Linked DNA regions of Saccharomyces cerevisiae S288C. Each later gene encodes a partner of the first gene's protein in a complex. Each region holds a gene or a part of one and is shown in the gene's direction. Other genes may lie near its edges.

Region 1 (3,464 bases):
TGGAAGACAGTCGAGAGCAAGCCATTGGCTTGGACTTGCGCTTGGACCTATCTTTCGGACCAACTATTTAATGATTAGTAAGACAAAAATGACATTTAAGCATCTATAAAATAAGAAAAATAAAAAAATGAAGGGAAAAAGCTAAACACTAACTTCTTGACCAAACAAACAAGGAAAAGCCAGTAATTGCGTGAACAAAAGGCACCTGCAATTGTTCTGATGGATGTACTTTGTCCAACCTATTCTGCAAGAAAAAGAAATCAACTCCAAAGAAGTATGGAGCTTACTGGCACTCTAGCCTCCAAAAGCTGTTAAAGTGTTCATTCGATTGTCAAAAATCTTCCCCATAATAATCACCCACCTCAACAAAATACTTCCACTTAATTATTGATCGATTAGAGCTAGCGTCAGTGATTATATGCTAGTCCGAAAGGACAGCCCCATGACAGCGGCCGCGCAGACGCCTAGGGGGGAAATAAGGGGTGACAATACCAATGAGTATAAAGGCAGAAAGAAGAGAAACAGAAGCACGGGGGTTTCGTTTGGTCTTCAAATATATGTTAGGTCGGTACCTTTTCATTGCAAAATTGAAAAGATTTGAGCGTGTAAAAGTAAAAAAATACATGATGGGTTCCCAAGATTTAGCTAGTTTAATTGGGAGGTTTAAATACGTCAGGGTGTTAGATTCGAACCCTCATACAAAGGTAATCTCACTACTAGGCAGCATAGATGGGAAGGATGCCGTGTTAACTGCTGAAAAGACGCATTTCATATTTGATGAAACGGTACGTAGACCCTCTCAAAGTGGCCGTAGCACTCCGATTTTCTTTCATCGTGAAATAGACGAGTACTCCTTTTTAAACGGTATTACTGATCTGAAGGAATTAACTTCGAATGACATCTACTACTGGGGGTTGTCTGTTTTGAAGCAGCATATTTTGCATAACCCAACTGCGAAGGTTAACTTAATTTGGCCCGCCTCGCAGTTCCACATCAAGGGATACGACCAGCAGGATTTACATGTCGTCAGAGAAACTCCTGATATGTATAGAAACATAGTTGTGCCCTTTATCCAAGAGATGTGTACCAGCGAAAGAATGAAATGGGTAAACAACATTCTTTACGAGGGCGCCGAGGATGATAGAGTTGTTTATAAGGAATACAGTAGCAGGAATAAAGAGGATGGATTCGTCATCTTGCCCGATATGAAGTGGGACGGAATCAACATTGATTCGTTATACCTGGTCGCGATCGTGTACAGGGACGACATCAAATCTTTGAGAGATTTGAACCCAAACCATAGAGATTGGTTAATTAGACTCAATAAGAAGATTAAGACCATCATCCCCCAGCACTATGACTATAATGTAAACCCGGACGAGCTAAGAGTTTTCATTCATTATCAACCTTCATATTACCATTTTCATGTCCATATAGTGAATATAAGGCATCCAGGAGTAGGCGAGGAGAGAGGCTCCGGAATGACAATACTGTTGGAAGATGTTATAGAAGCGTTGGGTTTCTTAGGTCCTGAAGGTTATATGAAGAAGACGCTTACTTATGTCATTGGTGAAAATCATGATTTATGGAAAAAGGGCTTTAAGGAAGAAGTTGAAAAGCAACTGAAGCATGATGGTATCGCAACCAGTCCTGAAAAAGGCTCTGGGTTCAATACCAATTTGGGTTGAAGGTAGAAGAGCAGCACTATTTTTTCATGTGCTGAACTTCAGGAAGCGCCGGCTTATATAAATGTCTTATTTAAATGTTTGTGTATACATCTCAATGGATTTTGAATTTTAACATAGAATGCGAATGCACAGTAACATAGTACATTCAGTTGCTATTTTCCGTATAAGCTTTCTTTCCCTTATAGCATACATAGCCTTTGACGTATTGCCAGCCTTTTCAAAGAAATGCGAAAAAATAGTGCATTACCACCTACGTAAGGTAGGCTGGAGAAAAAGATAAACTTTTGCATTCTCTGCTCACCATACCGCGAAGGAAAGTAGTTATAACGTGTCCCGTTTTCAACAAGGTTTTCTGGTATATTGTTAACGGTGGAGAAAGCATCTAGTATCAATTACTTCCAGAGTACACACAACGAATGTTATGTCTGTCCAAGATACTAAAGCGGTAGAGTTTTCTATGGGTCACATCAGATCATCCTCTGTATCCCTGGTAGCAGAGGCTACTTCAAACACGAATAGTGAAGACAAATTATCTAAGGTCCAACTCTACGAAGATTTGTGCCGGTACGAGGATACATTGAGTAAGTTGGTGGAATCTGTAGATCGTTTCAAACCAAACCTTGATATTGCCAAGGATTTGATCAGAACTGATGAGGCCTTGTTTGAAAACGTCAAACTGTTAGCTGAATATGACAATATCTACCGCAACTTACAGAAGATTGACAAAGACTCTGAAGAACTAGATTCTAAAACCAGGAAGATATTGGAAATTCTAAATGAATGTCATGACGAGTTAAAAGCACTACCGATGCTTGAACAAGTAGAGTTCGAGAAAAACACAATTTTACAGCAAAGATCGAAAATCAATTCGACAGAGTTGTTGGATTATGCCACCAAACTCTCCAAGTTTACCAAAATACCACCAACGTTCGACAAGGGAGCTGTGGGACCCAACAATTTTATATGGCCCGCAGAGGATGCCCTACGAAGAGGAATGCTTGCTATGGCCTCATTACATAGTAAAGAGCTAACTAGAATACCCGGTGAAGAAGTAGAAGAAACAGAAGTACCGACCGTACCGCCATCTCAAAGTGAAGAACAAAAAGGGCAGATGGCCAAGAAAGAAGGTACACCAAAGACAGACTCGTTTATATTTGATGGTACTGCTAAAGAAGTTGGTGATGAGGCAGACAATACCAAAGATAAAGAAAAGGAAGAAAATAATGATGATGCCCTAGATCTTGATCTTGATCTGTTTGATCCGGACGACTTCTAGTTGCAGTGTCTTGAATCTCTTCCTCGTTAGGAATGAAGAAAAAAAAAAGTTAGACAATAATTCGTGTAGGTAAAAGCGTATATAAAATTACATATATAATTTACTGCAATATGTCAAAGTGTATGAAAAACATTTGAAAGTAAGTTCCCACAGGAACTGGAAAATAAGACAACAAGACTGTGACTTCCACACGCATCTGTCGTTTTTGGCCATCTACTCTTCCTTTTTTGAAATAGGCTTTGGTGAGTAACCACTAAAACTCATTTTTCTCACACGTTCACCTGATCCACTTGCAGCGTTAGAAAATTCCTGCTTGAATCTTTCAAAAGCTTTAGAAAGGTTTTCCTCTTCTATTTCAAGACCATTTTTATTTCTCCATTCTTTGTAATCTTTGCAGAAATCTTCCCAATCTTCCTTAGCATTGTCCCACTTTTCTAACTCAATTGGTGGAATACCTAAGTTCATTTCTTCTTCTTCTGCTGTCTTTCCCTTTTCATGTT
Region 2 (2,547 bases), on another chromosome or scaffold:
TGCTTCACCGTACAACCCTGCCGGAATTAACGTTACTATTGTGGAAATGAAACACCAGCCAGATCGATTTGATATACGTGGTGGAGCAAAAAGCGCCGAACACGTAGACATCCTCGGCAGCGCGGAGTTGAACGATTACATCTTGAAAATTGCAAGCGGTAATGGCGATCTCGTCGAGCCACGCCAATTGTCTAATTTGAGCCAGTGGGTTTCTCAGATGCCCTTCCCAATGTAAATGACCGACATTGACTCACTATCCATCCGTGTATTATTTCAAAGAGCGAAAAGAAGGCGCGTCGCGTCGACGCGCCTTTTTAGGCTAGAAAATAAACAGAAAACAAAAACAAAAACAAAAAAAGGCGAAAAAACAAACGAAAAAACAAACGACAGTAGATAGAGGAGAAGGTTTTTGACAGGTTTGTGTAATTGGTTATTTGCTTTTATAGATTATATATACACAAACTTAAAACACTGTTTTCTAAGTAGGCTGCGGAGAGGGCCAATTGCAGCAGCGACGTACGCATAGAGGAAAAACAACCGTTCATGTCCATTATGAAGCAGAGGCTACCACTGGGGGAGTTTTCCAGCTCGAAGATCAACAAACTGGCAATTGCCAATATTGCAGACGCTAGCGAGCCTAGAAACCATGGAGAAAACAACGTCGGGACTGTGTGTCTTCCCTCTATCAAGAGTTTGATGGTTAGTCCTGAAGTATACGAAAACACGAAGAGTCTTCCTGTTCCCCTAATGAGGAGCAGTGGCGGAGGTATGGCTTGTGCCAGTAAGTCCTCATGCCAGGATGGTATTAGTACGAAAACAACGTCTAGAGATTACTCTGAGCTTTCCAAGAAGTTGCAAATTCGTTTACAGTTCGCCTATTATAAATACAAGACTAAGCAAACAGACAAAAATTTCACAGACTTGAAATCAAAGCATAGCATTACGAGGCCTTCCAAAGTCGCGACTCACAGTAAATCAGAACCTTTAACTAGGAGAAGAAAATTAGTACTATCTCAGGGTCATTATAAAACCCCTGCTAGGTCTAAGATCAAAACTCCATCTTCGATTTGCTCTCACGATAATACATCTTCCTTTACATCTTTCCGCGGTGTCAGCGAAAGCTCGAGCACTACCGCAGATATGAACGTCGCAGATACCACCACACCAATACGCAACAACATAAACACAAAGCATTCAAACAGTCATAATCGCACATTGTATCAGAGACAAGAAACACCTACAAGCATCAAAGCCGCTAAGTCTTTAATTCATCTCTTTACAAGTAACCAATAATCCCACCCCCAATATTTCTATCTTTCATTTTCATTCTCCTTCATTGTGTATATAATAATATTATTGTCTTCGTATATCTTCCACATTACCTTTTCACTTCCGCTTTAGTTCTGTACGTATAATTAGATAGAATATCATATAAAACCTGATTTTATTAGTATCGATTGCAATTCTACTGCGGCCATTAACTGTAACCGAATTGAAGAAAATAAAAGAAAAAAAGAGAACATGCATAAATGGGAAAAAGAAGGCGAAGCATACCAGCATCTACCAGAGAGACACGAGCACTGAAAGTCGCCATAAAATGAATCTACAGAACAACGTTTTAAATCAGATACACCAGATTCTGCTGCCTACGAATCCTACTCTCGATAAACCTAATGCTGAGGCTACAAAGGAAGAATTTTCGTCTGCAGAAAATAGAGATGAAAAAGACTATCTTACCAACCAGCAGCCGAAAAATCTGAGTACTCCCTCCACCAGTTCCAACGGTGAATTTATACCGCATATTTTTTATTCGCTGCACCAAATAAGGAAGGATCCAAACAATCTCTCAAATCAATTGGAAACCTTAACAGGTTCGATTAGACATCGTTTGAAACTTTGTAAATCTTTGATATCGGAAAACGAAGATACCAAGGATTTATTAAGTAAAAGTCCATCAGAATGGCAGGATATCATCCATCAACGTGAACAAGAACTGCAAATTAAGAGAGACGTCTTGGATGATCTTTATCGCAAGTTACAACGATAAAATCTATGCTATCTATCTTTAGTCTATATATATATATATATATACATACGCATACCACATCTTCAAACGTGCATATAGAATGGAGCCTGCGTTTCTAGCAATACACATACACCTGTCAAAAAACCTTCACCGCCTCCCCCTATTTGTTTTATCGTCAATTAAATCTTTAAAGATTTGTGGAACCATGTCTATCAACCATTCTTCCTTAGGGATAACTAGACAGTCCCTGATAAATTCCTTCGACGTTAGCATCAATTGTTGATAAAGCACATATTTGCTTGGTCTCTGCGCCTTTTCCTTATGATTAACGAAAAGTATACTGGTAGGATGAACACTAACGTTCAGCCCACCTGATGACCTACCCATGGTTTGATAGCCGGTGGGGCCTAATTGTACAATATTCATCGGAAACCCGCTGATGAAGCATCGAGTTATTCTAGCATTTATGTAGCCCGCTATATTGCCTATCTTCATCCTGGCTTGGTCGTTCTTTTCAACTA
Region 3 (3,136 bases), 590 kb from region 1:
ACCATTGGTAGGAGTTAACTCCGTAAAAATCAACGCTATTCTCTGGCTTATCATCATCTTTACACTCCAAATATTCGGACAGTGATACCCTATAGTTCAGGTCATCTGCAGCAGAGTAACCTACCGGAATTGTTCTGGGCGAGTGTGCGCTTATGTAATTCTTCATAGTTCCAATCAACTCCTTGACATAGGCAGGAGAATATTGTGCTGATCTTTTGTCGTTTACAATTTCATTCCCAGCAAAAAATCCTAAAGTATTATTGTAATGAGAAAATTGTTCGACAACCTTGAAAACGTGTTCTAAATAAACTTCATTATAGGTAGTCCAAGGTTCATATCTGTTTAAGTGCTGGTTTTGCAATGGGGAATTGACATCCAATATAAGATAGATACCTGCCATTGCGAGCATAGTCATGCACGCATCATGGTTCAGGTCCGGGTTTATAGAATAAATTCTTACTGTGTTTATTCCCAATTCTTGAAATAATAAAATATCACGAGCGCATGCATCTGGATTGGATAACGGATCCTGCTTTTCACTAACGTCGGAAGAGCCTCCTGGCTGATAATCCACACCTTTGATGAAGAATGGTTTTCCAGTCACTGTGTCAACGAAATGCTTGTCCTTAATTTGAATGGTGTGGACTGAAGCTTCACACAGTACAACTAACTCCAAAATTAGAAAAATAAAGGTGCTCGAAAAAACCATCATGCTCACGATTTTGTTCTTTTCTGCTTTATTTGTAGCGTTCGAGGTAAAATATATTTTTTTATTTTAATACTGCTTTACTCAGTATCCTATTATGTGTCGTTTTTTTGTGCCGCTACCTCAGTCTCACCTTACAATACGGAAAAAAAAGACTATTGGCAATTTCTTTACCCAACATAATTACCACTAAATTATTATAAGTGAACTTTTGGCCTAGTGTTTGTGTATATATATTTGTCCTTTGGAAGGGCAGTGATCGTCTTTAAATGTTTTAAACAAAAGAAGTATGTAAAAGCAGCCTGATAATAAATGTGCTCTTAAAGAGTCAAAATACTACTAATTTTTTAGCGGCTATATAGAGGTAGATTATGAACAAGGCTAGGATGATTTTGTTCTGTCACCTTTGTGGATGTCTTATTCCTACCCCGAGTTACTAACGAGATAAACAAAAAGGGTGCATACAACTCGATTATGCTATGTATATAACAAAATTCGACGTGGAAGAGAAAAACATGTATCTACTGCGCCAGTTGACATACTCTAAAAAAAAAGGAACATGCCATAATCCTTCTACCTCGGTATGATTTAAATGTTTACGGGCAATTCATTTTTTCACCTACCGCATCTTGCTAACTGCCAAGGTTGGTTATCTAATGGGCATGCGTCTCTTGTCTTGATCCATTTATTAATACAGTGCAAATGGAAAGCGTGATTACAGACACCCCAGGCTGCTACACATTCATTATCAGTGTCCGTCATGGCCTTTGGCTGGCATTCAATGCATGGTTCCATTATATGGTTCCTGCAAATAGCACAGTTGTCAACAGCTATATCCCATGACCAAAACGCCACTGCGGTCCATTTCTTAATTTCAAATCTCTTCTTTTTGGTTTCCACTGGCGCACTTTGGTTTGAGCTTTGCGCAATATTTTGCGATTCATCTTCATCAACATCCATCCTGTCAACTTCGTTGCTCATGTTGAACTATTTCTCTTTAAAGTTCTCTGCCACTGGAGAAAGACATTTAGTAGCAACCAACATTGCACATATTGAAGCCCATACGTCTATTGTGGGTTTCATGATCTCCCTCTTCACACCTTTAAAAGAAACTATTATCACGAAATACGAAATGTTAGTTAGAACTTAAACAACGAATCTTGCATTTTCAGCAGGCAGGTCATTAGACGTGCAAATATGACATAAAAGAGGTTTCATATCCCAAATTTAAGCTAGTAAAAAAAAAATTCACAAACTAAAAATGTCCAATGATCCTGGTAATGAGGTTAGCTCCTTGTACCCACCTCCACCCCCATACGTGAAGTTTTTCACACAGTCCAATCTGGAAAAATTACCAAAATACAAAGAAAAGAAGGCCGCAAGTGCGAAGCAGACGGCTCCAAATAACAGTAACGGCGGCAGTGAAGAGGAGATTACATGTGCGCTAGATTACCTAATCCCACCCCCCATGCCCAAAAATCAGCAGTACCGAGCGTTTGGGAGTATATGGCAGGTGAAGGACCAACTGCCCGATTTAGAGAGCATGGGACTCACCCAACTTTATAAGAAATCCACAGAAAACGAAAGCACAAATTATCAATACAAAATCCAAGAGCTACGCAAACTATTGAAATCCCTCCTGCTAAATTACTTGGAACTCATCGGCGTATTGAGCATAAATCCGGATATGTATGAGCGCAAAGTGGAGAACATAAGGACCATTCTTGTCAATATTCACCACCTACTTAATGAGTACAGACCCCATCAGTCCCGAGAGTCCCTTATTATGCTATTGGAAGAACAATTAGAATACAAGCGCGGGGAAATTCGCGAGATCGAGCAAGTATGCAAACAGGTACACGACAAACTCACCAGCATACAGGACACCTTAAGAACCGGATCACAATCTCCTCCATCGTCGTCCCAATGACCACACTATTATAAATCATTTGTGTAACTATATACATTTTCAACTACCGTATAGCGTATAGTAGGCACGTGGTAGTCCACCCGTACACCTCCCTCGGAACGGAAAAATACGAACTATAGCTTATCGGAATATATACCAAAAATTAATTGACGTATTTCCGAGATTCCAGGCACAAGTGCCCCACCTTTTCACAGAAATCGCGCACAGATGAGTCTGCAACGGAAATTGTTTTCCTTTTTTTTCTTTTTCTTCTCTGGGCATCTGAATCGATTGATAATGAAAAAAAAGTAGAAAAAGTAAATTGGATTACTCGGTTTTTCGTGTGGAAGATTGGCTTATATAAAAGAAGACGTGCTCTAAACAAAGGTGTTTTCGCTTATTTTGGTGCCACAGCAAACCAACTTATTTGCTTTTTTAGAGGGTGTTAAAAAGTCTGATACGCTCATATACGAGTAACACTAAACCGGAAATACTAGGAGAGCCCAGTACTTATACTTCTT

The links.
Region 2: the proteins of MED4 (region 1) and CSE2 are in contact, whole or in part, in a cryo-EM structure (PDB 7UIG), measured with the Saccharomyces cerevisiae proteins. Residues at the interface, in NP_014817.3 of Saccharomyces cerevisiae: Ser33 (codon at 2,206), Leu37 (codon at 2,218), Lys39 (codon at 2,224), Val40 (codon at 2,227), Gln41 (codon at 2,230), Leu42 (codon at 2,233), Tyr43 (codon at 2,236), Leu46 (codon at 2,245), Tyr49 (codon at 2,254), Glu50 (codon at 2,257), Leu53 (codon at 2,266), Val57 (codon at 2,278), Val60 (codon at 2,287), Asp61 (codon at 2,290), Ile74 (codon at 2,329), Asp77 (codon at 2,338), Leu87 (codon at 2,368), Asp91 (codon at 2,380), Tyr94 (codon at 2,389), Arg95 (codon at 2,392), Leu97 (codon at 2,398), Ile100 (codon at 2,407), Asp101 (codon at 2,410), Asp103 (codon at 2,416), Ser104 (codon at 2,419), Leu107 (codon at 2,428), Asp108 (codon at 2,431); in NP_014407.3 of Saccharomyces cerevisiae: Ile69 (codon at 1,802), Phe70 (codon at 1,805), Leu73 (codon at 1,814), Arg77 (codon at 1,826), Glu88 (codon at 1,859), Thr91 (codon at 1,868), Ile94 (codon at 1,877), Arg95 (codon at 1,880), Leu98 (codon at 1,889), Lys102 (codon at 1,901), Ile105 (codon at 1,910), Glu109 (codon at 1,922), Asp110 (codon at 1,925), Lys112 (codon at 1,931), Asp113 (codon at 1,934), Leu114 (codon at 1,937), Leu115 (codon at 1,940), Glu121 (codon at 1,958), Trp122 (codon at 1,961), Ile125 (codon at 1,970), Ile126 (codon at 1,973), Arg129 (codon at 1,982), Glu132 (codon at 1,991), Lys136 (codon at 2,003), Arg137 (codon at 2,006).
Region 3: MED4 (region 1) and MED7 share a complex: the UniProt entries of both Saccharomyces cerevisiae proteins name them as parts of the mediator complex.

What each region holds. Positions count from the first base shown.
Region 1 is NC_001147.6:656,638-660,101, forward strand, and holds MED4 (Med4p), read left to right. Parts: upstream 1-2,109; coding exon 2,110-2,964; downstream 2,965-3,464. Other genes in the region: DCS2 (5'-(N(7)-methyl 5'-triphosphoguanosine)-(mRNA) diphosphatase), read left to right, coding at 627-1,688; ALE1 (lysophospholipid acyltransferase), read right to left, coding at 3,178-3,464. UniProt on the Saccharomyces cerevisiae protein: Component of the Mediator complex, a coactivator involved in the regulated transcription of nearly all RNA polymerase II-dependent genes.
Region 2 is NC_001146.8:642,147-644,693, forward strand, and holds CSE2 (Cse2p), read left to right. Parts: upstream 1-1,597; coding exon 1,598-2,047; downstream 2,048-2,547. Other genes in the region: LRO1 (phospholipid:diacylglycerol acyltransferase), read left to right, coding at 1-235; NRM1 (Nrm1p), read left to right, coding at 544-1,293; DEAH-box RNA-dependent ATPase PRP2, read right to left, coding at 2,174-2,547. UniProt on the Saccharomyces cerevisiae protein: Component of the Mediator complex, a coactivator involved in the regulated transcription of nearly all RNA polymerase II-dependent genes.
Region 3 is NC_001147.6:68,876-72,011, reverse strand, and holds MED7 (mediator complex subunit MED7), read left to right. Parts: upstream 1-1,967; coding exon 1,968-2,636; downstream 2,637-3,136. Other genes in the region: GAS4 (1,3-beta-glucanosyltransferase), read right to left, coding at 1-712; SCF ubiquitin ligase complex subunit HRT1, read right to left, coding at 1,322-1,687. UniProt on the Saccharomyces cerevisiae protein: Component of the Mediator complex, a coactivator involved in the regulated transcription of nearly all RNA polymerase II-dependent genes.